Oreochromis niloticus: one gene and its partner. The protein of the gene in region 1 interacts with the protein of each later gene in a pairwise test. Links are inferred from orthologs where the notes say so. Each region holds a gene or a part of one and is shown in the gene's direction. Other genes may lie near its edges. The genes, in order: eif3g and mif4gdb.

Region 1 (15,366 bases):
TTATTTCTGCGGACTGTGCGTGAAATCGTTTTACTTTTTTTACAAAAAAAACCAAACAACAGGTTAGGAAGAAGAATGTGCTCAAAGACTTTGTTGCCATAGCAGGACCACTGGGAGTGACGCACTTCAACATCTTCAGCAAAACACCCACCAGTATCAACATGGTAAGATGACCTTAGAGTATTGATTGATTGACTGAGGCCTATAATTTACCTCTAAATGTGCTTGGTGTCAGAGCTAAAGTAGTTAAGTCATTTGAAAATATCGAAATATTAGATACAGACCTTTTAAATTTGTACATTTTATATTGTTTATATTAAAAAGCACCTGACTTCCTGTCACATCAAGTTGAGAATCCTTATATTCAACTGTAAACAAATGCATTTGCAACTGTATGTGAAATCCGTGCCTCTGTTAATCAAATCAAACATTCTTCTTCTCACAGAAAGTTGCTCGTCTTCCCAAAGGTCCCATGCTTCATTTCCAGGTCACCAAGGTAAATAATTTAAACTGTGCATACCAAATAAAACTAAATCAAATGAGTCATGGGTTCAGATGATGACATTTTAAAATGTGATTAATAAATGATGTTTTTCAAAGTAAACGCACTGATGTGCCCAAAGTACCAAAGTTGCGATTTCTTTCTTGATTGTCTTTTTCCTACTTTTACAAAGTTGTTGTTTTTTTTGTTTGTTTTTCAGTACTGTCTTATCAAAGATGTCGTTTCATCTCTGAAGAAGCACAGGATGCACGAGGAGCAGTTCAAATATCATCCGCTGCTCATCCTCAATAACTTTGGACAAGATGGCATGCATATCAAACTCATGGCCACCATGTTCCAAAACATGTTTCCTTCCATAAATGTGCACAAGGTGTGTTTTACCACTAAAGCTGCTGCAATATTTTTTTCCTTGGGTGACTCGAGGTTTACAACCTCACTGATATGATGAAAGTATAGTCTTCTGAGTTTATGTGAAGATTTATCAAAAGTAAACGCTTTCTGATCTCTCTGTTGATCCATTCAGCGTTCTGAGAGACTAAACCTGACTGCCACTGAAGAGAAATGTTTTGTTCTGTTTCTTGTGTTTTAGATAAGCCTCAACACCATCAAGAGGTGTGTCCTGTTAAGCTACAATTCCGAGTCCGAGGAAATTGAATTTCGACATTAGTAAGTAAAAACTGGCTATTCTTTATCATTTTAAGTTGCTTGTAAGCATCAGGTCACAACGCTTTGAATCTATACATCTGCACGCACATCACAGATGACGCGCTGTTTAGAAATGTACACAAAACTAGTTCCAGTTACTTAAACTTACGTTCAACAACAATCCTGTGAAATTTGGGCTCAGATGATGACAGACCTTGACTTGACTGTTCAGTGATCTATGTCCAAAGTAAACGCACTGATGAGCCCCCACAGGATAAAAGCATTTTTTTGTTAGTCTGTTTACTGATTACACATTGAAATTGACCAATATGTTGTTCCCACCCTGCAGCAGCCTGAAGGTTGTCCCTGTGGGAGTGAGCCGTGGAGTCAAAAAGCTGATGCAGGAGAGGTTCCCCAATATGAACAAGTTTGAGGATATCAGTGAGCTGCTGATGAAGTAAGGTTCTTTTGAAGGTACAATTGCTGTATCCTCCAGGATAAAAAGGGGCTCGGATTTGTAGCTGTTGGTGAGCTGGAGTTTTGTCTAATGAAAATGTTCTTCGTAACCGTTCTCAGGGGGGCAAACCTCTCAGAAAGTGAAGCTGAGCAAGATGAGGAGCACAACGTTACTGAACTTCCACAGGTCTACTCTGGAAGAGGCAACATGGCGTCCCAGCAGAGTGCCGTCCGCTTGACCGAAGTGCGTATGCACACAGTTGATTTTTTTTTCCTAAATAGTGTTTGAGTGGTGCTGAAAATTGCATTGTGCTGTTCTCAGATTGGTCCTCGCATGACTCTGCGGTTAATGAAGATTCAAGAAGGGATGGGCGAGGGGAACGTCATATATCACTCCATGAGTAAGCGCAGCCTTTTCCTAATTTATTCCTTAGCATGTGCAGGGGTGTACATGATGAAAAAAACAGTATGAATTCTATGATTTCTCTCTTTAAAAAAAGTAAACGCTTACTGATACACCCTGAACTTTCAGAATTTTATTTATCGTTTGGGAGGTGGCAAAATCTGTTCTTAACCAGGAATTATTTGTACAATCCTTGTAGTCTCCAAGACGGAAGAAGAAATCCAGGAGATCCTGAAGAGGAAGGAGGCAAAGATAAAAGAGAAGGAGGAACGCCGGAAAAAGCAGGAGCAGAACATCGCTCAGAAGACAGAGAAAAAAGAAGAGCACAGGTGATTTGGCTTTCAAATGTTTTGACCTTTTGTTTTGTATCCATTTTTTTATGCGGTTTAGAAGGAACGGTGTCTCCTTGATTTTCACAGGAAAAAGAGCCTGGAAGGCATTAAGAAGAAACGTGCCGAAGCTGAAGAGGACAGTGAGGTGGAGGATCCAGGAGCTCAGGACGGTCAGGAAGCTGATGCCGAGTCTGATGATGAGGCAGAGTACTACAGACAGGCCGTAGGAGAGGAGCCAGAAGAAGGTGACTTGCTAATTTACTTAACTCTCTTAGTTCACTGGGGTCTTTTTAAGTATTAACAGATGTTTTCCATGTAGGCATGTTTCCAAGTGGAAAGAAGAAGAGGAGGAGTTCAGAAAAATCTCATGGACCTGCCAAGAAGAGGAAGTTGTCCCCTGGTCAGTCTTTAAAAGACAGAGGTTCCAAATCACCAGGAGGACAGCATAGAAACCAAACAGGGAAAAAACAACAGAAAGGAGGATGGAAGAAATCCAGGGATGGGGAAAAATCATTTGGGAAGAAAATGAAGCCAACAGGAAAGGCTTTTGGAGCAAAGAGAGCTGGAGAGCAGGATAAATTTGGTGGGAAAAAGAAGAGAAATGGGGACAGACCATTCAAGTCTAAAAGTCAGAAAGGCAAGATGGGCTTTAATAAGAGTGCAGGAGGAAGAAAGCAAGGCTTCAAACAGAGGAAGGGAAAAGGCTGACCTTCAGTACTTCCCTTTAAACTGGACTTGGAGAAATTTTCTGTTTCCAACAGGAAACATGGAAAAGTTATTTAACTGGCGAATGCTTTATCTGCAAGTGATGCCTGTGAGAGTTTCCTGTTAGCGTTTATATTTGTCACCAGAAAACCGACCTCTTTCTGTCATGCAAAGATCTTTGAATTTCAAACTGTATTTGTTCTGTAAATAAACTGACTCTCAGTTTGTCTCTTTTTAATTGATCTTTTGTTTTTCAAGTAACTGTAAAGGGTTACAAAGCTGGAAGAAAGCAGTCAGCAACTCTTGGTATCTCTTCCTGAGCTGCTGTCCTAGCGTGTTGACATGGAAACACTGTTATAGATGAGGGAAAGCTAAATTAAAAATAACTGCATTACATGAGCTCATTTTGATACCAGTTTAAAATGAAGTGAAATATTAAGACTTTTAAAGAAAAAAATCAAATGTCACCTATTGTTTTTGACACGTTCTTGAAAGGAAAACATGTTGATCTTTCTGAAAATAAAGTATGACAAATGATAAGATTCAAATGTTTAACGATCATAAAAATAAACTGACCTTTAATAGTCCTTTTTACTATATTTAATAACTGCTATGACACATTTTCTAAGCTTAAATTTACAGTTCTGAACATTTGATATCGCAAGATATTGACGTGAAATTCAGAGCTGCATTGAAGATAAGAAAAAGGGAAGTGGTGTATTGACAGTCATAGCCAAACTTGTAATAATAATCAAAGCAGCTCCTGCAGTGCATGTTGGCCCAGCACCTCAAAAGTACAATGTTGGCTCGTTTTTTAAAATTCCTGGTCAGCAATTGACTTTTTGTTTTTACTGTATGTGATATGGAATAGACTACATTTGTTATAATTTATAAAAAAAAAAAAAAAAAAGATCCTCCCAAAATTAGACTAATGGCAGATGAAGGGAAAGAATTTTTCAAAAGAACAAATATGGATGCCCACACAGCTTTGCTACAACATGCCTAATCTGTCCTGTGACTAATTATTACAGATGCTTGACATTGGTGTAGCGCTTTTCCTTCTTCAAGTTGTGAAATAAAGACAAAGGGTATGAGGAAGTTGCCTCTATGGTCATGCGTGCGTTCCGCTTCTCGCTCACTTCTATCATTGACAGAGATAAGAATGGTACTTGAGAAGCGTTTCACATTTTTCCTACCTATCACACAGGAATTAACTTTCAAGTCATAAGGCACTATTCGTCACCCTTGCGGTAAGAGAAAAAAAGAATTCATTACTAAATATAATCTCTGTTTTAGCTGTAACGCTTTTAAACTTTTAGATAGTGAAAAGCAGTTTCTATAAATAGCTTCAATAACTTCCTTTTCTACAAAAATATAAATTTCTGCCCTAATAATTGTTGTTTTATTAGATAATGAAATTTAATGCATCAATATGCTTTGATTTGCAGGGCTTGGACAGTTCTAACAGTGTACCTAAAAGCAAATTAAAAGCATGCCGTCTAACTTCTCTGAATGTGAGAAGTTTCAAACAGGCGCCCTGCCTGTGGTGTATGGGGTTGAGTTTGTCGTGGCTCTGGCTGGAAATATGTTCGCCCTGTGGCTGCTGGTAGTCAAAGAAAGAAGAAACTGGCACACCGGTGTTGTTCTGTCATGCAACTTGGCCATCAGCGACCTGCTGTACGTCCTCACCCTGCCTTTGTTGATCGTCTACTACTCGAAGGACAAGCACTGGATGTTCGGCGACGCTGTGTGCAAGTTGGAAAAGTTTCTTTTCACATGCAACTTATATGTGAGCATCTTCTTCATCATGGCGATAAGCGTGAATCGATGCGTGGCCCTCGCTTGTCCATTTTTCACCCGCTCCTATATAACGCCTGGCCACGCCAAGGTCACCAGTATAATCATATGGGTCATCGTTGGAGTCATTTCCAGTCCGGTGTTGAAATTTGCCTCTGTTTGCTCTAATGCTACTAATGACAAAATTCAGTGTGTGTCCTTCTGCAACGAGACTGAACGCCCTCACTACGTTTACAAGTTTTTTCTCTCTGTGTTTGGGTGTCTGGTTCCCTTCCTGGTTACTTTCACTTCTTACTGTGTGGTGATTTGGGTAGTTTGGAAGAATGTCAGCATAACCCCTCTTGAGAAACGTAAAGTCGCCCTGTTAGTCGCATCAGTGCTTGTGCTGTATGCCATTTCTTTCATGCCTTATCATTTCTTTCAGATTTATCACTTGTATCTAAGATTGTTGCATCCAGACAACACTGTCTGTTGGATCTATGATATGTACCAAGCGTCAAAGGGACTGGCAACTGTAAACATGTGTATCCATCCGGTCCTTTACATGGCTGTGTTTGACAGTATGAGAGTAGCGTGTTGTGGAAAAAGCCCAGAAGACAACATCGGTGGGTGATGAGCTGCTGCTCTTTTTGTGGTTTTTGTCTACAGTCTAACCCATGCAATGCATATAGCACTTGCTCGGCTTTCTTGTAGCTATCTTATTTCGAAGTGTTAATAGTCTGCATTATGACTTTTCAAACAGTTTCTGTATTAAAAACTTTTTGCTTTGTCGTGCATCTAAAAAACTTTCATTATCTTTCTTTTATTTCCTGTTGGCCTAGTTTAGCAATAAAAATTATACTGAATTTGTTATTTTGCTTCCAAGGAGCCAGCTTTTCTTATATTTTTAAGTGCTCCTGAGCAATAGTTCTCTATGGTTTCTTCGTACAGGTCTTTGTGTTTTTTCACAAATATTTTCAGTCCAGTCCTTGCATCTGATCACATCACCTGAAAAACATTTTGTTTGTGTGTTTGTTTGTTTAACCATTTTATACTGACATATGCATCATTCAAGCATTAAAAAAGTCCTCTATCCCAAAAGATGAACCAGTGTTGTCTACGCATAACAGACAACATAGCAAAGAACCAATTTTTAAATGTATCTTTTAATTTTTGTTACTAGGAGCTTCTCAGAAAAATATTTTAACTTATTCAAATTACTTTAGTTGAATCTATAAAAATTGCCAAAGGTAAATAAAATATTTTTTGCATCAACAACATATATTCCTAACGAGATATTACTCAAGTGCAGTGTGTCCTTCAAAAAATCTGAGGAAACTGAACAAGTGCAGAACAAAAGAAGAAGTGATGGGTCTGAAAAAATCAAGCTGTGTATGGCAAATGATCAGTCCTGACACAGGACCTGAGAGATGCATCTGGCCCTTGAGCAGATCTGACATTTATTTTTGACCTATGCATCTCAGACTTTTTGGTTGTCTGCAGGAGAGACTGCACCAAATTGGACAAGAAACCAACCTTTTTTAAAATGCTTTACTACAATTGACCACATGTTAAATCAAGTCAACATACCAGCATCTAAAGCTGACCGACCATCATCCTCTTCTCAATGACACGTTTTGGAAACAGTGATAGACCCCAAGACCCTTACAACCACTTAGCACAATTACAGACGTCTACCACTTGAGTGAGACAGGCTGCAGTGGTGCAACCTCTGTCCAAAGGATTTGTAAAGGTGCAAATTCCAGAAATACATTATGTTCCTTGACTTGAATGCAAACCAACAGTGCTTTGCAAAATATGCTAGAAATAAACGTTTTCTAATGCCCCAACATTTGCTCTTGAGAGTGCTTCTTTTCTACTATCAAACATGTGAGGAAGGTTTGAAAGAATCCAGAATATTATTTAATTTTCACTAATCTGGTTTTGTGTAGTAGAGGCCCCTTTAAAAATGTAGTTGTTTGAATTGAAAAATAAAGATCCTTGTTATTGTTGCCCTTAAAAAACCTTTTAAATTAAATTTCATGTTCATGTAAATTGCATGTTAGTGTCTTTGTTTGTTTGTTTTTTTTAACCCCTCAGATCTCAGATATTGCTTTCTGATTTAAACCTAAATTACATTTGCGTAAAGTTTTCCAGATTATTATCAACCCCGATTTTTAATTTGGTTTGGTTTTGGACAAGAAGTTCTGCACTCTTATTTTGAAGCCAAAAAAAAAAAAGGATTACACTATACTTTTATTGTGAAGTGGGTAGGAAGTGCCTACAGTAGCGACGCCGCTCGACTCATACTGCTCCGGTCCTAAAGGGAAGCTAGCAGTGAGGATGCCGTCGATTGAATACGACGAGTAAGTTCTGTTTGTTTCATTTCATACTGTGAAGTCTTTATTGAGCTCAAAATAACGTTGCATTTTCGTATCTGTCTTTCAGCTCCAAGCCCAGCTGGGCTGATCAAGTTGAAGAGGAAGGAGATGAAGGTAAAGAGCCTATTATGAGCTTTAGCTAATGCTAACACATCTGCTGTAGTCCAGTGATTCAAGAAGGAGGCCGGCTAGGCGGTTTCCACTTCCACGTGGTTGTTAGGCGTAAACGTAGAGTTAAAAATGCGTTTACCTGAGACATGTGGGGTGTCTAATTATGTAAAAGCTGGAGTGATATATTTGTGTGACTGACATGGATGGACGATTTATTGATGAAAAGAGTTACCGACATATGCTGAGGCCTGTAACAGTGACGTAGGCAGGGTCTCTCGGTACTAACATGAGTGCAGCTAGCAGCTAGCAGGCTGCGCTAGCACCACAGCTGTGTTAGAAGTAGGATTTCAGCGCCACAGGTAATTAAAAGTTAATAAGTGTCTTATCGCAAATAAGAGCACCTGGGTGTGAAATCCAATTCAGAACTGGATATTTGATCAAAAGATGAGCCTTCATGGTGCTTTCATTGAGAATTTGATTGAATACGAGGGAAACGAAGCTCTTCAGAAACAAGGCATGAAAAACGATCGTTTTTCTAGCAGTTTCAAGGACTAAACTGAATGTTTTCTTCACAGGCACACTGCCATCCCCCAAGGAGACCATCAAAGGAAATATTAAAACTGTCACGGAATATAAAATAGACGATGATGGAAAGAAGTACAAGGTAATAAAACGTTTATTATGTCGTTTTTATAAGACTCATTATACAAAGTCTTATCTTGATTATATTTAAACTGTGAAAAATGCATCTATCATTGCATTTGTAGACCAATAGAGTTATAAGAATGGATGCAGTGATTGCATTACTTTTGTTAAGGTGATATAGATACTGTCTCTAGTGCTGTAGGACAAGTAGTTTTTTCTCCCACTCAGTGATCCTTTGCTAAGCATGCATGTCTCCCATGTAGTAATTGCAGTCTAAAACAGGGCTCTGGAGGAGCATGAAAAATGGCTGCACAAAAAAGTGCAGGAAATACGGTGGTTACTGATATAACTGCAGTTCTGTAACTGAGTGTGATAAGGTTTATCATCGATTGTGTAAGGTTATCAGGCTTTAGTCTGTGGTGTCTCCACCTCTGAAACCCTGTGGTACATGATGGGTTGTACAATTTATTTTAAGCATTAGAACTTCATAAGCTATGAGTAATATATGTTAAAACCCATTCTTGTTTTTTCTTTCTAAATTTACAAACTTCTCAATTGACACGTTATACAGCAAAGCTACAGGTGTAGTCATTAATTGGTTTGTATATCAGGTTATTTCATTCTTTGAAAATTAATATTTCTTTTATTGATACCAGATGCCCTCTAGAGGTCATAGTTTCATCTGAAATCTTTGAGTAACACTGACTGCATTTTTCAAGATTTGTATACATTTTATTAGAGGTGCATTAGTTCAGGGTGGCTGCGGTAAAGTAGGTCATCTACTAACTGGAAGGTTGGTTGTTCGGTTCCTTGCTGCTCCAGTCTGCATGCCAAACTATGCTTGGGCAAGACACTGAACCTGATGCTTTCATTGAAGTGTTAATGTTAGATAGAAAGCAAAGTAGAAAAAAATGCTCGTGTTAATTGGTGAATGAGACATGTTGCATAAAGCCTGAGTAGAGTAGATGACTGCTAAATGAGAACCAGTCCTTTTAACATAACCTTCATAAATATTTTCACTTGGTGTATAAAAAGAGACTTGTTTGTAATATTATTATTTAATATTAATATCGATTTACTTGCTGTTAATTTTGTTTGTTTGTTTGTCCTCTAGATTGTGCGAACCTTTAAGATTGAGACAAGGAAAGCCTCAAAAGCTGTTGCCAGAAGAAAGGTCTGTCTTTAAATTAAATAAAAGTAAACCTTTTTCCACTTTATCCATGAACAAAATGGTAAACTCAGTGTCAAACATTATCCTGCACTCATTTCAGAACTGGAAGAAATTTGGTAACTCCGAGTATGATGCACCAGGCCCTAATGTTGCCACCACTACCGTCAGCGATGATGTCTTCATGACTTTCATCTCCAGCAAAGAGGTGCGAGTCTTGCTTTTTTTGCATTGTTGCTTTTGTATGGTGTTCTAATTAAAAAAGAAAAAAGTTAACTATGGTGTAGCTTTGCCTTTTTATTTGATATATCTTTTTCATTTTGTAGGACTTAAACGCTCAAGACCAGGATGAAGATCCGATGAACAAACTGAAAGGACAGAAGATCGTGTCTTGTCGTATTTGCAAAGGTGATCACTGGACTACACGCTGTCCGTACAAGGACACCCTGGGCCCAATGCAGAAGGAGCTGGCTGAACAGCTCGGGCTTTCTACTGGAGACAAAGAGAAGGCTGCTGGTTCAGGTATCATGAACATACCATTCATAGAGTCAAATCTTTGCTGTCAGATGTTCTGTTGCAGTTTGGTGTTCCTAAAGTTATCATGACTAATGTTGCATGCTATTCCTCTCACCAGCGGAGCCAGAGCCTGCACAGCCTGCACAGAGCAAGACCGGGAAGTATGTTCCTCCGAGCCTGAGGGATGGAGGCACCAGAAGAGGGGAGTCCATGCAGCCTAACCGCAGAGGTGGGTGCACATTGTTGTCTGCTTATACTATACATACCCGTTACTCTTTGAGAAATTGCCATAGGCGTTATAAAACATGGATGTAACTTCCAGATCAGAAAAATGAAGCCAGTGCAGCAACGCAGCCATCTGGTGGCTTTCTATTGTGTTGCCACCAGATGGCGATAGAAATGCAGGGTTTCAAAAAGACTTCCAGTCCTATAGAAGTTTAGAGGGAAAGGCTTTCTTAGATTATGGGCTCTCACTTATTTTCAGTCATACTGAATAAATTATTATTATTATTATTTTTTTTTTTTTAACTTTTTTGCAAGTTTTGGTAATGCTATGTTTCAAAAAGGAAGATGAAATTGCATGCTCGATGACTAATGAGTTGTCAGTCACAAGACATTACACTGACCTTGCACTGTTACAGTCACACCCAGCCTCCCTAATTGCGTCCAGTTTTTGCAACCGAGGTGGCAACAGTGGAAATGCTAAACTTCAAGGCTTCAAAACAGATCTTTAGAAACCAGTGGATGATGTAATGGTAGTGTCTTTGATAATGCCTGCACAGCCTCAAGTATTGTTCAATAGAAACACTATGTTTGTTTTTGACAGCTGATGACAATGCTACCATTCGTGTCACCAACCTGTCTGAGGACACCCGTGAGACAGACCTGCAGGAGCTCTTCAGACCATTTGGCTCAATCTCAAGGATCTATTTGGCCAAGGACAAGAACACGGGACAGTCGAAGGTCAGTTATAAAGCGAGCATTTGATTTAATAAAGTGTCAGCAACAATTTCTTAACAAACCTCTTTCCAAGACGGTGTAGCTGGTAAATTGACTACAGTGTTTAGTTTTCTGTTTGTAAGAAAATACACAAACATGTTGTCCGTCAAGTGTTCCGGTGAAAGTGAAAATTGAGTGGTTGGCTTTATTGTTGTCGTTTTTGTATTATTTTTTTAAGTATCAGCTGCTGAGTTTGGGTGTGTTTTGTTCTCCTTTTTTTTAAACTGTTGACATTGAACTGAAACTGAGCATGGTTCAGTAATCTCATCCTGTTTCCAACAGGGATTTGCCTTTATCAGTTTCCACCGTCGGGAGGATGCAGCAAGAGCCATTGCGGGAGTGTCAGGATTTGGATATGATCATCTTATTCTCAATGTTGAATGGGCCAAGTGAGTTCAGTCTGTCAGTTTTGTCAATGTACTTATCATAATGTTGTGTAATCTTGTTGCTGACTAAATTTCACTCTCTTTGCAGACCGTCAAACAACTGAGGAATTCAGTGTAAATCCCAGGAAGATTCCATATTTTATTGTCATGGTAAAATATGGCTGTTACCATAATAAAGAGAGTAGTTGTAAATGTCTTTGTCATTATTTCTTTTCTTTAATGCATTTTCTGTCTAGGCTTTTATCCTGATTTAAACCTTTACGTCTTCGACATTTGACAAACACTACATACATTGATTTTCTTGATTTGGAGACGTAAATAGAAAAGAGGAAAGAAGTTCATCACAAAATCATAACTGGCAAAAGTGTTAGCTGGCTTTACAAGACCTAAAGACTGGACAGAGATAATGACCATCATGACACTTATTATCAACTTTATTTTTGATTTAATGTGTGCACACTTGTAAAACTGGATTTCAGATCCAAAATAAATTGAGAAAAGACAACATGTGGCAAGTGAGCAATGCTGCAAAAAGTTACTAATCTTGTTTTCAGGAGATCATACCTGAAAACTAGTGTGCATTAGTGAGGACATACTAATACTGATAATGTACAGTACTAATACTACACGGTGAATCTCTGTGGTCTCGACAAATGAAGCCTATATTTGAAAAGAGAGACTTTATTGTCTAATTATAATGGTGTCAAAAAAGCAAAACACTAAAACATTGAAAGAAGGAAAAACTACAGACATCATAGTTGATAACAATAATCATGTTTCCATAAAAACTTAATCAAAAAATGTATGGATTCAAATTGCTAAAACAAAACATGCTATTTGAGCTTTACTAGTGCTCATGTTTTTAATACATTTAAGAATGTAGCTGTGAAACTTTGAGGATTCAAACTTGGCACAGAGCAAATTTTTTGGCTTTGAAAATACATTCTCTCTCAGCTTTTATATTTGTAATAAATCACTCCCAAAATACCAATAACAGCAAGTACAGTGATCACAATCCCAACAATGGTCCCAGAACCAATACCTAAAGAAAAAAAAGTTCATAGATGATAAAATATAACAAGATGGGAAATGTAGTGAATTAACTGATGAGAACTTACCTGGAGGTTTGTTGACTGTGAAGTATTTGGTCACAGTGCCCTGGGTGTTTGAGGCGGTGCAGGTATAGACCCCTGGAAACTCAAATGGTCGAGTCACAATAGGATGATTCACATCTTGATTCTTGTACGTCTCTTGTGTTGCTTCTGGGAATTGCCAGTGGTATGATGGCACAGGGTTTCCTGTAGCATTGCAATTTAAAGTCATTTTTTCACCAGCTGAAAGTTCAAGTGTCTCATTTAAAGGATCGATGAAGGCTGGTGGGTCTGAGGACATATGTGAAATCAAAATACAGACAGAGAGAAAAAAAATTGAAAATACAATAAATCTTGTGACAATTAAATTAATCTTTTTAAAAAAAACTTACATACAGTCCCTTTGTGTGACTTTGAAATGCAGCAAACAAAATTAAAATCAAGAAAGTATAAAAAGATAAGAAATGTAACGAGTTAACTGATAAGGGGTTAGATGGAGATTCGCTGACTGAAGTATTTGGTCACAGTGCCCTGTGTGTTTGAGGCATAGCAGGTATAGATTCCTGGAAACTTAAATGGTCGAGTCAAAACAGAATGATTCACATTTTGATTCTTGTACGTCTCTTGTGCTGCTTGTGAGAATTGCCAGTGGTATGATGGCACAGGGTTTCCTGTAGCATTGCAACTTAAAGTCATGTTTTTACCAGCTGGAAGGTCCAGTGTCTCATTTGTAGCGCTTATACGGTTGATGGGTCTGAGGACATATGTGAAATCAAATTGCACACAGAAAAACTTCTAAAAGATGAAAATACAATAAGAAATATTTTGTTGGTCGCATTAAGATCATGTTAAAAACTCACAGAGTACAGTCAGAGTATGCGCCTCTGAACGCACTGGAGGAGGACCTTGTTCCTCTGGCCACAAGTTCAGCTTTGCTTCACACCAGATCTCAGCTCCATCATCATCTCTATGAGCAGTCAGAGTGAGGACAGATGACTTACTGACGTTAGATGGACTGGAGTCATTAAATGTCTCAGATTTCATGATATAATTTCCTTTGTGCCAAAGCACAGAGAGATGTCTTGCTGGTGCAACATTAACAACGTCACACTGTATGGCAAACTGTTGGCCTTCTTTCACTGTACTTAAATTCTTCAAAGACACACTGTCTGGCATTTCTGTAACAAAAAGGGATAAAAATTAATTGATGTTATTTTCATGTTATTCAGTGAATACTAACAATGGCATGCTCAGATAAAGTTAAGGCTACTTACTATAAACAGTGACCTGTAACACTTCTGTACACTGATCACCATCACGGTAATTCACATAACATATTGGTCCTATCTCCCACTCTGGCACAGAGTCAATTTTAAAGGGAAGAGAAGTGACACCCTGGGTAGGGTCCACTCCTCCATATGGAGACTCCCATCCCATTCCTTCAATCTGGTCAGATGATGAAGTGCAGTTGGCTGATAAGGAGTCTCCAAATTTCACCACAACTCTAGGAGGGCTAAGTTCTAATAGACAGGCAGCGTTCACCGGCTTTCCTAGAATGATACAGGAAAGCTTAACGTAGGCATATAGTCAAACAGAATCTTAAAAAAACGAACTATCAAATATGCATAAGCTGGTAATGTTTTACTGCGAACAGTGGCTAACAGACCTGGAGCAGCAAGATTTACTGTTGCAAAAGCCTTGAGGAGGATACTAAATGTCCAATGTGATGAATAAACCCACATTAAATGATATAAATAACATTATCAAGGATCGGTATAGGAGACTCCTCAATATTTGTTTGGGTTTGAGATCTCCTACTTGCAAACTAAATTGGGCGAGGTTAATCTAATTCAGTTTCGATTCATTTTTATATAAATCAAAACAACAGTCACCTTTCCGATCTCCCCCTTATTTATATGAGGCTTAAAAAAAAACCTCTCATGACACTGCTAAAAATAAAATGTGGCCAGTCTCTATAGAATATCTTTGAGAAATACTAACATGACTGGTAGCTATACGTCTTGTTTCAGGTTGTTGTGGGTTCACACTAGATGATGTTTGGGCTTTGGGAAGGCCACTCTAAAACCTTAATGAGACATTTTCAAGCAACTTTTTAGTGGGAGAAACGTTTCGTCACTCATCCAAGTGACTTCTTCAGTCTCAGCTGACTGCAGGTTTTCCCAATCTTATAAACAGTACATTGCATAATGACTGAAACCAGCCCACTGAAGGAACAATGGGATGGGAGGTCAGTTCCTTGATCATCATCCCTTTAACTAAGTTAGAATTTAACAGACACTGTGTATTTCTGATAGCTTTGTTGGTACACCTGCTGTCATAAGAGTCAATTCCAGCGATACAGAGCTGTCTGAGTTGAGAAGTCTTTGAGTGCACAGCGTCTTGTAGGCAGTGGCGGTCCTAGCCTGTTTGGCGCCCCCCCCCACACACACACACACACACGAAGAGAGAGAGAGTATGCATCGTATGCAAACGGCTACTAAACAGACATCATAATTCGTCATACAATGACAACAGGACAAATCAACAATTGACACTGACTTATTGTATATATTGTTTGGAGTTTAGTCTGTTACTGTTACTATTTTTACCATTTCTTCTTGGAGGAACTGTAACCCACATAATTTCCTTAGGGGTTAAGAAAGTATTCTGATTCTGAATGTTTTAGGATACATGACCTGCCATTATCCAGTGACACATCTGCTTACCTGTATCTTTTGCTCGTTTCTCCTTGTAGGAGCCATAATTAAATGTATTGAATTTTAATGATCACTGGGTTTTCATTTGTTTGGTTGCTATGGTGATGTGTAACGGGAGTCACGTGGGTGGTAGCGGTGACACTAAGAGGGCGTTGTCAGTCTGTCATTCACTGGTTTGATTTTGACAGAGAGCAGGGCTGGGTAGCCGTAGTTTTTGTTGACCGCAGCACAACGAGTTTCCCCTTGTTGCATTAGAGCGTGTGATGTTTTAAGAATTTGAATCGTGAGCCGATCACATTGCTCTGTAAACTTTTCAAGCACTTTAATAAACAAGCAAGCAATTCCACCTCTGGCATTATTGCGTAAAGTTGACAGCGCGTCAGGCAAATAGGCAGGCTCAGTCCCCGGCCTACACTCCTCCTCTTCTTTTCTCTTTTTTTTTTTTAAACTTTAAAAACGGGTTGTGTGTGAGACTTTAAATCAACAAAATATAAAATATACATTTTAAATTGTTATTGATCCCTTTACCCCGA
Region 2 (16,201 bases), about 6.6 Mb from region 1:
TATCCTTGCCCAAGGCGCCCACACACACACACACACACACACACACAAATTGGAGGCAGGTTCATTACTCACAGGCTAACACCAGGAGTGTCCCACATAAATCATAATCCTCTAGGGGTGAACAGAAAATTTTTGAAGTGAGAAATGAAGTGAAACTCTCGGTATCCTTTAGAGTGAATGCAGTCTGATTTACAGTTTCTCTCCTTGAACTTCCTCCCTGCCTCTGTCCCTGTATGAATTCATTTTCCTGTGATCTTGCCTCCTTTGCTTCCCTTTTCTCTCTTTTTATTTTTTGTAATCTTCCTCAGGTGATCCGAGACGTGCTGCTTTTAGGACACAGGCAGGCCTTTGCCTGGGTGGATGAGTGGATTGGTAAGTGCGCAGGAGATGACAGTCTTTAGAAAACTTGGGTTATTTTCATGTCCAGGCACTGACTTATCTCACGAATGCACCCACTTCACATAAATTATTCCATTTTAAGGTGGAGATCAAAGACTGTATGCAAAGGATGGACATAGCTAGCATGATATTATCAATTTGTTTATTAATTTCATCAACTTTTAGCATTGTGACCATCTCCATCTGGTGTTTTTGGAGTTTGAAATATTTGGATATATTTGTCATATTTGGACATGAGCATAGCGTGCTAAGTTATCAACTAAATGCTAGCAAGCTCTTTTTAGCAGGGTGTATGCATGGGTACCGTGCACAGGAACAGATACCTGATAATAATTCTAAATAGGATAAATACTAGAATCTCCACCACCGAAAACAGAGAAAAGACTTCCTGAATGGCCTGTTATGTTCCACACACTAGATGGGTGACTCCAATTAGCTGTAGTGTCACCTCTGCTAATTGGTTATGCCACATCCTACCTCCTCCTACAGAAGTGCAGCTGGTTTGGGTATTTTAGAAACTATATTTTGGAAACTTGGATTTTTCATCTTGTTAATATCAGAGGTTAGAAGAGAGTGCCCAGACAGTTTTTATAGGAAGACAGCATTAACTCAATTTCTCTTTATAGTTAAAGTAAGAAGAACAGCATCTCTGACTGTGCAACATGTCAAACCGTAGAGCAGATGAACAACAGCAAAAGACCACAGCTGTGACTACTGTCAGCTAAGAACGGGAAACTGAGAGTACAGTTTTCTCCTGACACGTCTTTCCCTTGAAGCAGTTAGTTGTAAGACCTTGAGAAACCTGTGTGCAACTCCACTAATATTTCCGCATTTGCAGCCTCACCACATTAAATAAATCTGCAAAGTCCCATTTCCAAAAAAACTCGAGATGCTGTGTACACTGAAAATACAAAGAACGCAATCACTTGTAAATCTTAAACTCGTATTTTATTCACTGTAGAACACAGAAACCATATCAAATGTACCAAAGTAAGAAAAACATTAGCTCATTTTGAATCTGATGGCAGCAACACGTCTCAAAACAGTTGGGACAGGGCCCTGTTTACTGCTGTGTAGCATCCTCTCTTTTTTAACCATGAACATCTGGGAACTTAAGGATACGAGCTGCTTGATTTTCTAGCTTCTCAACAGTCCTGGGTCTTCTTAGCTCCATTTCATATTTCATGATGGGCCAAATGGTTTTAAGAGGTGAAAGGTCTGAACCGCAGGCAGGCCAGTTCAGCACCCCACTTCTACTACTACTAAGCTCTGTTGTGAAACACATCTATTTAAATATTTGGTGTGCTTTCTATGTTTTATTGTTAATAAAGTATGGGTTTATTAGAATTGCAGATCACTGTGCTTATATCACATAAAAACTGCATTCAAATCTAATAAAAACAATTCTAAAGATTCCTTGTCTCTCTTATATGTCACTGCTCCAACCCAACAGACATGACCATGGATGAAGTAAGAGAGTACGAGCGTGCCACACAGGAAGCCACCAACCTGAAGATTGGCACTTTCCCCCCTACCATTTCCATCTCAGAGAACCCCCTGCCATCTAGCACCCGCAGCGGACCCAACAGCGCCCCGTCCACTCCCCTCTCCACCGAAGCCCCTGATTTCCTGTCAGTGCCCAAAGAGCGACCCCGGAAGAAATCAGCTCCAGAGACCTTGACCCTGCCTGATCCAGGCCGCAGGGATTCACTCTTCAAGCTTCCAAGCTTTTTCTCCTGGAACTCCAGTCCGCAACCAGAATGAGAGCGGGGCTAAGCCGCTGTTAAACACCCCTGACCTGCGTATTAGTGGAGGATGCCTACCCAGCACATCCTGCAATGTTCCCTCAGCCATCTGAAGAAGAAGTGACTGTCCCGGTGATCCCAGCCCCTCAGCCGACTCGCCGGCGTTCCAGCAAAGCCAACAGCTCTCAGACTGCCTTTACAGGTACAGCTAGGCATCCACAGCAAGGCCCGCCAAGTGTAAAGGTGTAGTAAATCCCAGCGAGAGTCCAACAAAAGCACCTGCAGGCTCCTCATCCTTTACTTCTCCTTAGAAAACAGCCAGTCTGCACCTTTCATTAATCAGTATGGAGTCCAATTAGCCTGACTGAGTGTAGCATACATTCCTGAAATCGTTTTATCCCACAGAGTGTCACCTTGTTTTCATCCAAGCTCAGGGTGTGTTGGTGAAAAGATATCTAGAGACTCAGTGCACATAAACTTAACATTTGTTATCTGCTTTATCTTTAAACATCTCTGGCTTTGTTCATTTATTTGGTAACTGAATTATGTAGTTGGGACTCTTGTTGGCCACTGTAACAGTCGAGTATTATGGTTTTCACAGTCAGATGTAAGGTGATTGTGTATTCTTGTATATACTGTATGAAAAATATAAATGTGACTAATTCAAAAAGAATATCATATCAAGTGATGAAGCTGCTCTGACTGTAATGTGTCTCAGCAGCCATGAGGTCTTCATGAAACAGCATGATTCTTGACTACCGGGGCTGCCCTTAAATATTTGTGAACTGAATGTTTTCCTTATCTGAGCCTCATATGTGATGTCGTGTTTTACAGGAGTTTTTACAGACTTGGTAATGTGGTGTTGTTTTGCTGCTGTATTGACTTCATTGTGGTTTTATTGTGTTCATTTACTGTCATACTATTGATGGGTTTTGTATTCAGTACATTAAAGTAAATTCTGCTGCATCTGTTACTGTGTGAAGAGTTTGTTAATGTGATCTATCTGAATGGAAAGACAGTCGTGTGGCTCATTCAAATGCAACTTTGGAAACCAAGTCATGCTGTATAAATTAGAATTAGAATCAGAATACTTTATTGATCTCAGAGGAAATTTTGTGGCCAGATATGCTCCAAGACAGTAAGAACAGTAACTAACAAGTTGAATTAGCAGTATTAAATAAGACAATATATCGCAAAATAGCTCCAATATATAAATATCTCAACATATTACATGAAATTGTATATAGATGAAGTTGAAACTGAGTTCCCCTTCTTATCATACTGCAGATAATTTATCTGAATTTCAGGAGCAAGGCCCCACCTGCATACACACCGCTTTCTGATCTGTCTACATGCTCAACCTTTGCTACCTTTTTCAATTCATACACTTCTCATTAGTACAGGCAATCGCCTCTGAGGCCTTTCCCACCAAAGCAATATCTGCTAGAAACACTGTCAAACCTAAATGAGGATGTTGTCACAGCTAATGAACTCTTTGTTATTTTCCCTGTAGAGGATAAGCAGATATTAAGGAGGTGCAACTACTGCGCTGTGTACTTATGCTTTAGATGGAGGAATTGTAAGAGAGTAAGCAGTATGTGTGCATTTATGCAGGGAGTATGCATCCAACATGCTCACATTCAGTTATTTTATTTATTTTAAATATATAAACCCAGGTGTGAGCTCTTTGTCCTCACTTATTCATTTTTCATCATTTAGGGGGCATGTGATGAACCATGACCATGTACCAAACTTCAATACATAAACTGTTTTTTGGGGTTTTTTTAATCTTTAAAGGTGTCAAAAGGCGTACGATTCATACGCACACCTCTAGTGAACACTGTGTTCATCCTGGTCTACACATCACACACGCAAACACAATTCCTTAATCAAAACTTTATTGAAAAAATAATAACATCATAGTGTTCAGCAGACACATCGACACAACTGCTTTAACAGTTTAACGTAACACAACAAACTAACTGAACTCTCAGTTAGCAGTCCCTCCCATACCCAGTGCTGTTTTGTCCTCCATAGTATATAATGCAATAAATATTAAGTGCTTTTTTTTGTCTGTGCACAAAACCAACACACAATCCCAAAGCTAAAGCAAAATTTTGTTGTATTCTCTTCTTGCAACTTAATGAAGTCAAACAGTTTGTGTAAAATGACACAAAATGCTCAAAGTGTGTAAAGTTCAGTTTGAACATTCAATGCTAACAAGTATCCACAAACTTTTTTAAGCAAGTATCCACAAACCTTGAAATCCCACATTAAATTCATGTTTTTAAAAAAAAAAAAAAAATCCAGCTCTTTTACGACACACGCTCAAATGACATCACAAAAACAAACATAATGCAGTAATTTTTCTGTCCTGATATGTAAACACAACAGAAACAAATGATGATATTGACCCAGTTGACACATTTTTTCAGTGCAAGAAAATAACAAGGCATAAGTTAGTTTCCAATGTGCGTGATTTTGTGTGTTGCTTCCCCGCCCCCTTCATCATCTTTTGTTAAAGTCTTTGGTGATGACATTTGTTCCCCGTTTCTCCTTGAAGTTATGCATGGCGTTGAGGAAAAATTCATACCAAAAAAAGGTGAAGCCCGTTGAAAGCGCAGCTTTTACGAGACTGGGGGACAGGCCTTTGAAGAATCCTCGGAAGCCCTCCTCTTTGGCTATTTGAACCATGCAGTCGAGCAGACCTCTGTAGCTCCGCACCTGCACAGAACAGACAGAAGACAATGCTTCACCATCAAACCCAGAGCGCTTAATCAAATATGATGAAACATGCTGTTGAGGAGCTTACCTGTCCAAAGTGAGCTCTGGCTGCTTCAAAGCCCCCCACCTGCAGTCTCTTCTTGAACAGATCGAAGGGGTACGTGATTGTTTTGCTGATCATTCCAGCTCCACTCCCACAGACCAGACTTTTTAAGTTTCCTTGAACATGAACATAAAAAGTGACAGGATTTTAAACTCAACCCTGTGCATGTGTAAACGCTGCACAATTAAGAGTTTCCACTCACCTCCCGAGTTCCCAGCTTTGGGTCGTGGAGCCAACAACTTTTTAAAGATGTTGTAGAAGAAGAACTGCAGGCCAGCGTAAGGAAACACAGCCAAGAGCGTTGGTGACAGGCCACGGTAAAATGTTAGAGTTCCTTCTGATCGCCACATTGTAGACACAGCATGTCGCAGGTTCCTGTACACCTGGAAATATAAAACTGGGTTTCAGCAGTATACCGTGAGTGATTCTGCCTAAGGCAGGAATTAGAGAATATTTAACATGCTTTATGAATATTTCATCGTTGTAAGACTTGAAACGGCCTTCAATGCTGTTGGTAGTGTGGGAAACAAAAACCTGTGTCCAAATCCTCAAATATTTCTACATTCGCCTAATTAAACACATTTGGATATCTCTGTCCTCAACAGACAAGTGAGCAAAAATCAATACTGGATGCCCGGGATCATTTCGGGTCCTCGGGCGGCATGATTCTGTCATGGAAATCAGTGCATGGGCTCAGGAACACTTCCAGAAATCATTGCATGATCCACAAATGTAGGTTAGAGCTCCATCGTGCAAAGATAAAGTCATATGTAAATGCCACCTTCTTCTCTGAACCAAAGCTCATTTAAAATGGATTTTGGCAAAGTGGAAAACCTGTTCTCTGGACAGACTAATCAAAACGGTTTACTTTTTTTGGAAAATATTGACGCTGCATTCTGCAGACTAAAGAGCAGAGGCACCATCTGCGTTGTTATCAGAGCTCAGTTCACAAGTCTGCACCTCTGGTATGGCGGTGCGTTAGTGTCTCTGGAATTGCCACAACTGCGCCACTGATGCTGAAAAAATATATACAGGTTGTAGAGCGATATGTGTTTCCACTTAGGCAACGTCTTTTTCAGCGAAGGTCCTGCATACTTCAGCAAGACATATGCTAAACTAAATACTGCATCTATTTGTATGTAAAGGTTTTAGAACAACATATGCTCCCATCCATACAAAATCCAGCAGCTGGTCTCTTCAGTTCCCAGACAATTACAGCCTGAACAGCCTCTTACAAAGTGGTAAACAATATGTTATGAAATATGTTTCTGTTATCAAATTTAAAATGATTTAACATTTTTCTTTAAAATTTCTCAGCTTAAACACTTACTATATTTTCTGTACTCTTTAGTGAAAAAATGTGACTTTATAAGATGTGCAAGTCATTGCATTCTGTTTTTATTTACATTTTTCACAATTCTGTCAAACATTGACAGCGACAGGATCAGCAATGATTAGTCCCACCTTGGGTTCTCCCTGAGCTGCAAAGCGTGTCCGCAGTGTGTCCAGAGGCTGGCAAACCACTGTGGCAGAGCAGGCTGCCAAGCCGCCACAGACGAAATGAACGCCTGCTGTCTGGCTGTCATACGGCGTTTTCTCATGGACCAACTCTGTCAGAAACTCAAAACTCGCAAACTGCAAATTGGACACAATAAAAGCAACTGTGTTGTTGAGATTGTTTACAGTAATATAATTGTTCTGCTTAGCCTGCAGTTCACAGTTCACACTTTGTACCTGGACAGCTCCGTAGCAGATGGAGAGGAGCTGTGCCGGGATGTGGCCCTTCCAGAAAGCAGACAGTCCCTCCTCTGAATGAATGCGGCGTGTTGCCTGAAATATCCCATAGTACTTCCCCTCTGGTGTTTTTGAAGACACGCGCTCGATCTGCAGCTACAGGGGGGAAATACAGATAAGAACACAACACAACCTGCATCTATCAGGCTTCAAGAGTTGTGTGAAGAGATTAAGGTTTTTATTTCAAATACACTTTACTGTGTGAACAGTGTGGTACTGAATGCAAATGTTTGCACATGCTTTTAGTACAGTCACCAATTGAAATGTGCAGTTACTGAAGAAAATACTGAAGGTCATAGCTGCTACTTCACTGTAATCTTCAAAGTCAACATGAATTCTCACTTCTGTCCCAGAACAAGTACCTGAAATCTGATTTTAATGACGTCAAAAGGACTGATGAGGGCTCTGGTGACCATCCCGGCAGCTGAACCAGCGAAGGCCGCCTCCTCTGGGGACAGAGGTGCACTCTGGACACCAGGGTCATAGCCCACCATGTCTCTACAGCCTTAGGTTTCTAGAAACTCTAATGAAACAAATGACCAACCCTTTGTTCAGTTTAACACAGTTAAAAACAAACTTTAATTCAAGTTTAAATAGATAAAGATAATCTTAACTGCATCATGTTGGATGATAGGAGCTTGTTTTGTATGTATAATCTTAAGAACAGGTGTTTCAAAACTGTATTAAAGTGAGTATTTTGATATTTATAACAGCAGCTACATGCTAGATGTTATAAAACCTCCAGTTTGGTTTTGGGGGATGGACTTTGGAATAATACACAGTAATATATAACTCCTCTTTTCTATATACTTTTCAATGAAAATGAGAAATGGGTGCAGCAATTTACTGAAACATGCTAACATACATGGGAATGCAGTATATTTTCTGTAGATTTTTTTTTACTGTTCTAACAAGCTTGAAAGTCAATGTTTGGTATGACCACCTTTCTTATACATTACAGCCTGAAGTCTCTTAGAAAAGCTTTCTTGTAATTTCTTTAAGTAGTTTTCAGGAGAAGTTCCCCATCCATGTTTGGGATCACTGTCATTCTGAAAGCCTCCACCATGTTTTACAGATGGCTTTTCTCCTTGTCTCCCTTCCTTAAGCATGGCTTCTTGACATTCACCCTTACACTGAGACTATTTACAAGGAGACTTCAGTGAAAAGTTGATGGATCACCTGCAGGGCCAGTTGGATATCTCGTGCCCTGTGTCGGTCTTTCCTATTTCTTAAGGACATGGCTTTCATTTGCTACCCACCAGTCCAGTTTCCTCAAATGTTTTAAGGATACGCAACACTGGATGATAACTTAATTCGTGTGCCCTTTTATGCCTGAATGACTCATATGCTAGTGTTCAGTGGTTCAACAAACAAACAAAATTTTATAAGCCTTGAGGAATTATTGATAACACCACTGAAAAAATGTCAAGTATGTCTGCCTCCTCCGAAGTAAAATATAAAGAAACGAAACGTGGGGTGGCTCAAGACTTTTTCCCAGCAGCTGTTTCCTTGACATTACATTTACAGCTCCACCCATGTCATTCGACATTTGTTAGGTGTCTGTTAATGGCTCGTTTTCTTCCATGGTCACCATTTATATAATTATAACACAACCATAAAATGCCATAAAGACCAGAAAAGTTAAAAAGAAAAAAAAAACAGACATGTGGAGGACATATAATAAGACCTTGGAACTAGCTAAGCTAAGCTAAGATAAACTAAGAACAGAGCAGGGATTAACTTGACAATAATGGTAACAGAAGCAGACAAATATCACCGTACCTTCATAAATACCACATCAGCTCCAACGGTGAACCTCAACTAGTACAGTTCAAAATTAGTAGAACAGGAACAGGTTTCTACTACTTGCTAGCACGCTCCTAATATTACTGCCGGGTCGGAAGAGATTCTCCAAGACGAAATATCACGTCAAGATAAGTTCCTGCCTCACTGCACCGTGTCAAATTCAGCAAGCAACTACTTAAAACTCACATCCTCTTTTATTTAAGACATCTATAGCGTAGACAGGTGTCGAAAGTACAAGAATAAGGGCTTCGTTTACGTTAACTTTGGGTTAGGTGAAGACCATAGGGTCTGCGGCGAAGGAAAAGGAGAAAGGAGGGACTCATCTTTCTGTTGATACTTCATCTTCGAAAGGTTGGGGTTGCGTCGAGGAAAGGCTGCCTACCAGAGCATACCTCTACCTGAGCGTAGATGTGACGAATTGGCATTAAATAGGTATAATTGTCACATAATTATCCTCCATTTGTTGGTCAATTATTTAACCACCGTTTTCTTTCAGTTCGGGAAAGTATTTACCCGTTTGTACCTTTCAGCGGGCGGTTATAACGCAAGTGTAGGCTGGGTATTAAACTCCACTTTGATTCGTTAGCGTCAATGCTAGCCATTAACGTTTGGTTTCCACTACAGCTGTAACGGTTGTTGTTAATGTTGAAAACAAAGCTACCGTTAGACGAAATTTTACGTGTTCTTACACTAAACTAACGTTACCTAGTTGAATATGGAATATGGAAGTAACATTGGTGTGTCACATCACAAGTTGAAGATAACTTGGCTCGTGCTTGGTTGGGTGTTCGGTGAACTTTTTAGTTGACCTGGGTTGTATAATCCCCTCCATCCCTCAGTGAATGAGCTGCGGCCGGGGGCCAGCCAATTTGATGACTGTACAGGATTTTGCATGTATTGTGGTCACCAAAAGTGCCCGGATGTCTCCGGCTGTGGCCTTTTGATCTGTCTTTGAAAAGCTTATATTCTGCATGAAAACACCTGCAGTAACTGTCTGATTTCCACAGGTGACAGCCCTCCCGTGTAATTTGTTTACTTGCATCTGTAATGGAAAACTCTGCTGAAGACTACCGGATCCAGTCATTTGACCTGGACACGCAGAGGTTACTAAAAACAGCCTTGAAAGGTCAGCCTTTAACTTCTTCATGTGTGTCATTTTTGGACGCTGTTAAAAAAAAAAAAGCACTTAAACATAATGCTCTCTTTTTCAGATCCATCTCTGGTGAACCTGGAGAAAGTATCCAACATCATTGTGGATCAGTCTTTGAAGGACACCGTGTTCAGCAAAGAGGCTGGGCGTATTTGCTACACTATAGTGCAGGTCAGTAAGACCCAGCTATATATTGCATTCAGGCTCCCACTTTTTGTCCACCCTCCCACTGTTATCTGCCTGACACTTTGCTTGACACTTTCTGCAGGCTGAAGCCAAGCAGAACAATGGAAACGTGTTCAGGAGACACTTGTTGAACCGACTCCAGCAGGAGTTCAAAGAACGCGAGGAGATGAGGGCACGCTCTCTGCAGGAGTGGATGTGCTATGTCACGTTCATCTGCAACATCTTCGACTACCTCAAAGTAAGAGCCAGAGAGAGTTTTGAGTTTTAACATTTAGGAAGGGGAAACACAAAGCAGCTTTGTTAAATCACTCCGATTAAAAGTGGAACCTTTTCATTGCCCGTATTAAGAGGACATGCTGCTTTTTTTTCTTCTTCTGTGTCCACACTGCAGATGAACACCTCCTATAGCTGCATTTTTGGGGTCCTAATATGTTCACTGCAGCACATTTAAGTGTCCAGGAACAACCACTAAAATTTGAACAGATGCTAATTATGCTGCTTCTAAAATCTAGGTCATGTCTCATGTAGTAAGGGGTTTATTCATTGGCAGTGTAAAGATGAGCCTGAAAGGTGTGGTCCTAACACACTCAGGTTTCATCCATGCTTGGAGCCACTGGCATTTTAAACAGAGTGATCCTTATTGGAAGACTACTCAATCCTGGCTTTTGTGTAAGAGAAATCAGAGTCAAGGACTTACCACAGTTTCCTTTTCTGTTATGTTGATAATACTTAGCTGCTGTAAGGACTCCACACTGTGTTTCTTAGGTGAACAACATGCCGATGGTGGCCCTGGTTCATCCTGTGTACGACTGCCTGATGAGGTTGGCCAAACCAGACGCTCTAATGAATGAGGATGAGGTGAGGAAGATATCTGGAGAAAGTATTTATCAGTCATTTACATATAAGTGTAAAAGTGCTATAGTGGTTTTCAGGACTGATTGGGGGAGTGGGTTTGTTTTGTATAGTCAGTCGATATACCTCCTGTTCCACGGGGTGTTTTTGTCTGACTACAAATGCATATAAATCCCAAAAGGCCAATAAAAAAACTAAATCATCTCAATTGATTGCTGAAGCTTTCATAATTGCATTTTGGCCAATGAACTTCCACTTTTTTTCTGCATAGTAGAAGAGTCACCTTTCATTTTAAAGGTTAAAAAGACTTTAATAGCCATTTTTCTACAAAGTAGCCAAAGGGTTGTAATTTTGAGGAAGACCTCAGTCAGTTTTTGGCTCCACATTGTTGTGTACAAATGTTTACAAATATGTGTGTATAAAAAGAGAGATTATTTCATGACTTTTAACTTAATTTCAGTTGAATTTTAAATTCTATATAATACAGATACGTGGCAAAGGCATACTTTTTAGTTCTTAATTTATGCTACCACGCTTGTGTGCGTATTTGCCTATGAAGCGCCTACACAGAAGATTTTCAACCACTGCAAATGTGCACCCATGCCATCCTCCAGCATCCTAACTGCACATTGTTTGACATGGATGACACTGTGTTGATTAGTTGAAAAGTGGGCCAGAGAAGCACAAAAAACCCCATCAAAGATAAAAAAAAAAAAAATGCAGTATGAGAAACACAGGCAATGGCCTCTTTTAGTTTTACTTCAGCTCTTTGTAGGCTTCAACTTCACTCTTCTCTGTGGCTGGGTGGTGACCAATAACAGCACATGTAAGTGTAGTCCACAGATCTGTTGTAGCACATAATATTTATACTGCCCACATCTGGGCAGTCCATAGCTGCCGACAGTTTACCCTAACTACCGCAAAACCATAATCTCCCCTTTAGTGTGACGTTCGTTTTTACTGAGGCGTCTCCACCTTTCTCCACAGGTGGACTGTCTGGTGGTGCAGCTGCATCGCATCGGAGAGCAGCTGGAGAAGGCGGACAGCCAGCGGATGAATGACCTGTTCTTCCTCCTGCGGGACGGCTTTCTGCTCCAGGAGAGCCTCACGTCCATGGCCCGCCTGCTGCTGCTGGAGATCCTGGAATTCAGGGCCGGAGGTTGGATGCTCAGCAGCACCGCTCACAAGTACTACTACAGTGAAATAGCTGACTAGGACTCAAGGAGCAGGGCGCTGAGCACTAGAGCCTTCAAGCACCTTGGACACCTCTCAAGCGCCACTGATTACAAAACCAGCTTTTTGAGGATAGATAGCAATATCTTCCAGGCAATCTGAGGAGGAGTTTGAGAAGATGGTGATTTCTCTAAAAAGACTGATTCAATGTTCCTGAAGCGTGCTGTGGAATGTGCAATAGGTCATGCGGAGCTGAAGTTGAGTTAACGAGGTTTGACCACATTCAGGTTCACTTTGTCTTTGTTTCAAAGACATTTGTGTTCAGGTTTGATGCAGCTAGAGGAGCTGAGGCAACTTTTTTTTTTACATTTTTAATCATTCTAGCATTCCTGTTTTGAGAGAATATTCTAACCTTAGTTTGTTTACCAAATCCAAATGACATTCCAGTCAGATGAAACCTGATTTGATTATTTTGATATTTTAGTGTAAAATTTAAATTTTGAAAAGGTTTTAAATTGCGGTGGGAAGAGTTTCTGCCTACTTTGTTCTGTAAAACTCCTGTTAGTGATCAGTTTGGCAGAGTCTTAATTCAGGGATTTATTTTATTTTTTGTTACTAACAGCAGACCAAGCGATTGGTTAAACCGCTTTTCTGCAGAAACATCACTCAGATTCCTTGATATAAAATATTTGTTAAACAAGCTGCGTCAATGTAACGTGAATACCATCACATGGTACCAACGACTCCATAAAGACTGACATGTTTATTTTTACCTTAAGAAGCTGAGGGCAGAGTGTTTTCTCCTCCTTTATCAGAGCTCCTTTTGCAGGTCAGTTACGATTGCAAAGCTCATAAAAAAGTGTTTTTTCAAAACGATTTAACTTCTCTTTACACCAGCAACACTACATTTGATAGTCCACCATGGCTTTCAGGAGTTTCCTCAGGCACAGGTGCCCTGCTGTTAAAATATTTCATCTTTCAAATGTGGTCGTTTTCATAACCACGATCTGTAGAATGTATGTTGAAATTTGACTTTAAGGCAGTCTGACAATGATAAAAACAAAGAAGTTACTTAAAAGCCGCTCACAGATGCACTGAAGTATTTTGTCTCCTAAAATAATTTTCTTTGTTAGTGTAGGGATTTAAATTTCAGCTGTTGTTTTTTTTTCTTACAGATTCTTGGGTCAAATCAACAAAACCAAGAAAAAAATAAGTTTGTGTGTTAAACTGCAATGAGTCAAAGAAGGACTTAACCAAATCCCTTAATGACTCCACAGACCTGACTGTAACATGAATCTATTTTTTACTACACTTTCCATTTTTTCTTTTTTATGATTGGGTTGTGCATTAAATGAAAGTTTGTTCTAATAAATCTTTGTAAGTTTGTATTTTTTGCGTTTATTATTGCAAATACAACACACTTGTACACAGTACAGCTTCCTTAATACAAAAGTGACAGTAAGCCATGTTCAGTTCTTCTTTATACACGCTTCATCTCTCTGACAGCATTTTACAGTCCATATGATTTTCACGTCTCAGCACTTTGAGCGGCTGCAGCTCTTTGCAGCCGACCTGACTTCTGTCCAGTCTGTTAGTCATCAGATTTCAGTCGACGCCATTGCGCTGCTTTCTACCACCAGCGGTAGTGAGCATAGGCTCTGTTGGCTTCAGCCATCTTGTGCAGCTCATACTTCTTCTTGATCACGTTGCCCTCTTTGCCAAAGGCCGCCAGCAGCTCCTGGGAGAGTTTTTCATACATGTGCGTGCGTCGGTGTTTGTTGTCCTGGCACTCTGTGATCATCCACTTCATTGCGAGGAAGCGCCGCCTGTTGTCCGTGAGTGGAATGGGCACCTGGGTGAGGTCAGAGGCCAAGAGGAATGCAATTACTCGCCTTTATGCTTTGCGGATATAAGATCAGCAAATGTGTCTAAAAACCAAACCACAAAGACAAACTGTGCGTTCCATTTTTAAAGTGTGGAAGCTTTCGAAAAGCATCTTTTGTCCTGTCTCCCTCCTCTCATCAGTTATGGCAGATGACTGCCTCTCCCTGATGCCAAATCAGCTGGAGATTTCTTCCTGTTAAAGGGGAGTTTTCCTTCCCACTGTCACCAAATACTTTCTCATAAGGGTCATGTGACTGTTGGGCTTTTCTCTATATTATTGTAGTCTTTATGTTGCCTCAAGGCAACTTGTGACTTGGCTCTATATAAATAAAACTGAATTGAATCTTATTTTTCTGAGTTTTCTGTGCAGGCAATGGTGTGTGTCATTACTGACCTGGTAGTACTTTCCACCTTTCTGTATGCTGGCTAGCCCAACGACAGGCTTGCAGTTCTCCAGAGCCTGATGGAAGATGGTGTAGGGGTTACACTCGATCACTTCCCTCTCCCCCTCAGAAGCTTTGTGATACTTCTCCACCTGCTTCTTCTTTATGTTCTCCAGCGTCTAAACACAAGACAAACAGTAGTTATCTATTTACCGTTTATTTAGACTGCTGTTGACATGTCTGGTATTTATTATTAAATTGTTTTTTTTACCTGTGTCATTATCTCTCTAGCCAAAACCTTGTTTCCATGTTCCATCATCATGTTGATGAATTTACTGAAAAACAAAGACAAAAATCATCACCTGACATGAACGTTCCTATGCACACATCTTTCCTGTTGTTGTGAGCTGAGATGTGAGTCTACCTGATGACTGGGTCATCAAAAACAGAGCTTGTGACTCCGCTGGTGGCTGCCTTGATGGGCCTGAGGGCCTTGAGCTCGCGTTGTTCCTTCTCCTCGGCACTCAGCTCCGTCTCTGGTCGGCTGTAGGCCTCCTTGCTGACTTCAGGCTCCAGATAATAAGGGTTGTATCTGCTCCATCTCACCAGGAACACACTGAAAACAAATAACAGGACGGAGTTTCACAAAGTTACTGGGTAGTTTGTGCCTGCAGACAGACCTCACTGTCAGCTGAAGAAAAAAAAACTTAAACTAATCCTAATCTATCAAACAAAATCCTTTTTGTGTTTCTCTAAAGCAAATGGTTATGATTGGGGTCATCACTAATTATACCTCACAGAGTTAATCAATTGGACCATTTACAAGGAATCTATCACATTAAAACTGTTCAAATTTTTTTTCACTTTCCTATGGTCACGTATCCTTGAAAACCCTGCTGTAAAACACAAGGCTAAGACCCAAGTACACAGTAAACAGCACCACTAAATAAATCCAATAACAGACTGTCAATACACAGCAGAAATGTCTCTGTGAATCAGGGATTTCTTCATTATTTGTCAGTCAATCACCAAAAATTATAGTATTTCTTCTTCTTTTTTTTTTAAATTTGGGTTCACTCAGCTTCTTCCCAGAATTATATAGCTGTGAACTAAATATCTGGGTTACAGGCTGCTGGTCAAACAAAGCAAGATACTCTAAAAGATGTCCACAGTCACCACCCACTTCATTTGACACACCTTGCTAGTTGCCCTTTGTATTAATTTTCAATTTTTTTGGCATAAATTCAAAAAGGTGTTGGAAACATTCCTCAGAGATTTGGGTCCATATTGACATGACAGCACACACAGTTGCTGCAGATTTGTCACACATCCATCATGTGAATCTCTTGTTCTATCACAAACTAACGATGGTTTATTGGAGATGAGATCTGGTGACTGTGGCAACTTTGAGATCATGTGAGCTTTGTGACTTGGACCATTCAGAAAGCAGCAATCAGAAGATGATTAACTCTGGTCATAAAGAGATGGACATGATCAGCAAAAACACTTAGGCAGGCCCTGGTGTTTAAATGAAAGTTGGTGCTAAGGTGCTCAAGGAAAAATATCCACTACACCAATGCTGACCCTACCATCCAAACGGCGCAGCAGAAATCAAGACTCATTACACCAGGTAACGCATTTCCAATCTTTTTTGTCCAATTTTGTTGAGTCTGTGTAAATTGTAGCCTCATTTTCCTGTTCTTAGCTGACAGAGATGGCACCCGGTGTGGACTTCTGCTACTGGAGCTCATCTGCTTCACCTGTCTTCCTCATTCTGATGGTCAGTTTGAACTTAAGCAGGTCGTCTTGACCATGTCTAAATGAACTCAGTTGGTGCCATGTGATTGGCTGATTAGATATTTTGTTAACAAGCAGCTGAACAGGTGTACCTAAAAACAAACGGCCGATGAGTATATTTGCTGATTTGTTTTATAAATAATAAAAAATAATAAGTGAAAACGTGCAGATATTAATTATATGTGGGATCCATTTGCCATTATTT

What was found.
Region 2: the proteins of eif3g (region 1) and mif4gdb interact in binary tests that used the Homo sapiens proteins (3 or more experiments, as listed by UniProt). The link is inferred for Oreochromis niloticus from reciprocal best matches to the Homo sapiens genes EIF3G and MIF4GD.

What each region holds. Positions count from the first base shown.
Region 1 is NC_031969.2:23,964,495-23,979,860, forward strand, and holds eif3g (eukaryotic translation initiation factor 3 subunit G), read left to right. Parts: upstream 1-7,044; 5' UTR 7,045-7,162; coding exon 7,163-7,185; intron 7,186-7,267; coding exon 7,268-7,314; intron 7,315-7,886; coding exon 7,887-7,975; intron 7,976-9,070; coding exon 9,071-9,130; intron 9,131-9,227; coding exon 9,228-9,332; intron 9,333-9,450; coding exon 9,451-9,646; intron 9,647-9,758; coding exon 9,759-9,869; intron 9,870-10,466; coding exon 10,467-10,603; intron 10,604-10,921; coding exon 10,922-11,028; intron 11,029-11,113; coding exon 11,114-11,129; 3' UTR 11,130-11,221; downstream 11,222-15,366. Other genes in the region: ppan (suppressor of SWI4 1 homolog), read left to right, coding at 63-164, 446-496, 702-872, 1,092-1,168, 1,497-1,604, 1,724-1,847, 1,926-2,004, 2,206-2,335 and 3 more. UniProt on the Homo sapiens protein: RNA-binding component of the eukaryotic translation initiation factor 3 (eIF-3) complex, which is required for several steps in the initiation of protein synthesis.
Region 2 is NC_031969.2:17,394,381-17,410,581, reverse strand, and holds mif4gdb (MIF4G domain-containing protein B), read left to right. Parts: upstream 1-8,850; 5' UTR 8,851-9,003; intron 9,004-9,578; 5' UTR 9,579-9,618; coding exon 9,619-9,697; intron 9,698-9,782; coding exon 9,783-9,892; intron 9,893-9,989; coding exon 9,990-10,145; intron 10,146-10,672; coding exon 10,673-10,765; intron 10,766-11,746; coding exon 11,747-11,974; 3' UTR 11,975-13,304; downstream 13,305-16,201. Other genes in the region: cytoplasmic phosphatidylinositol transfer protein 1, read left to right, coding at 309-372, 1,853-2,163; slc25a19 (mitochondrial thiamine pyrophosphate carrier), read right to left, coding at 4,653-4,868, 4,957-5,087, 5,174-5,354, 6,436-6,606, 6,706-6,861, 7,128-7,259; mrps7 (small ribosomal subunit protein uS7m), read right to left, coding at 13,563-13,784, 14,211-14,378, 14,471-14,534, 14,624-14,815. UniProt on the Homo sapiens protein: Functions in replication-dependent translation of histone mRNAs which differ from other eukaryotic mRNAs in that they do not end with a poly-A tail but a stem-loop. May participate in circularizing those mRNAs specifically enhancing their translation.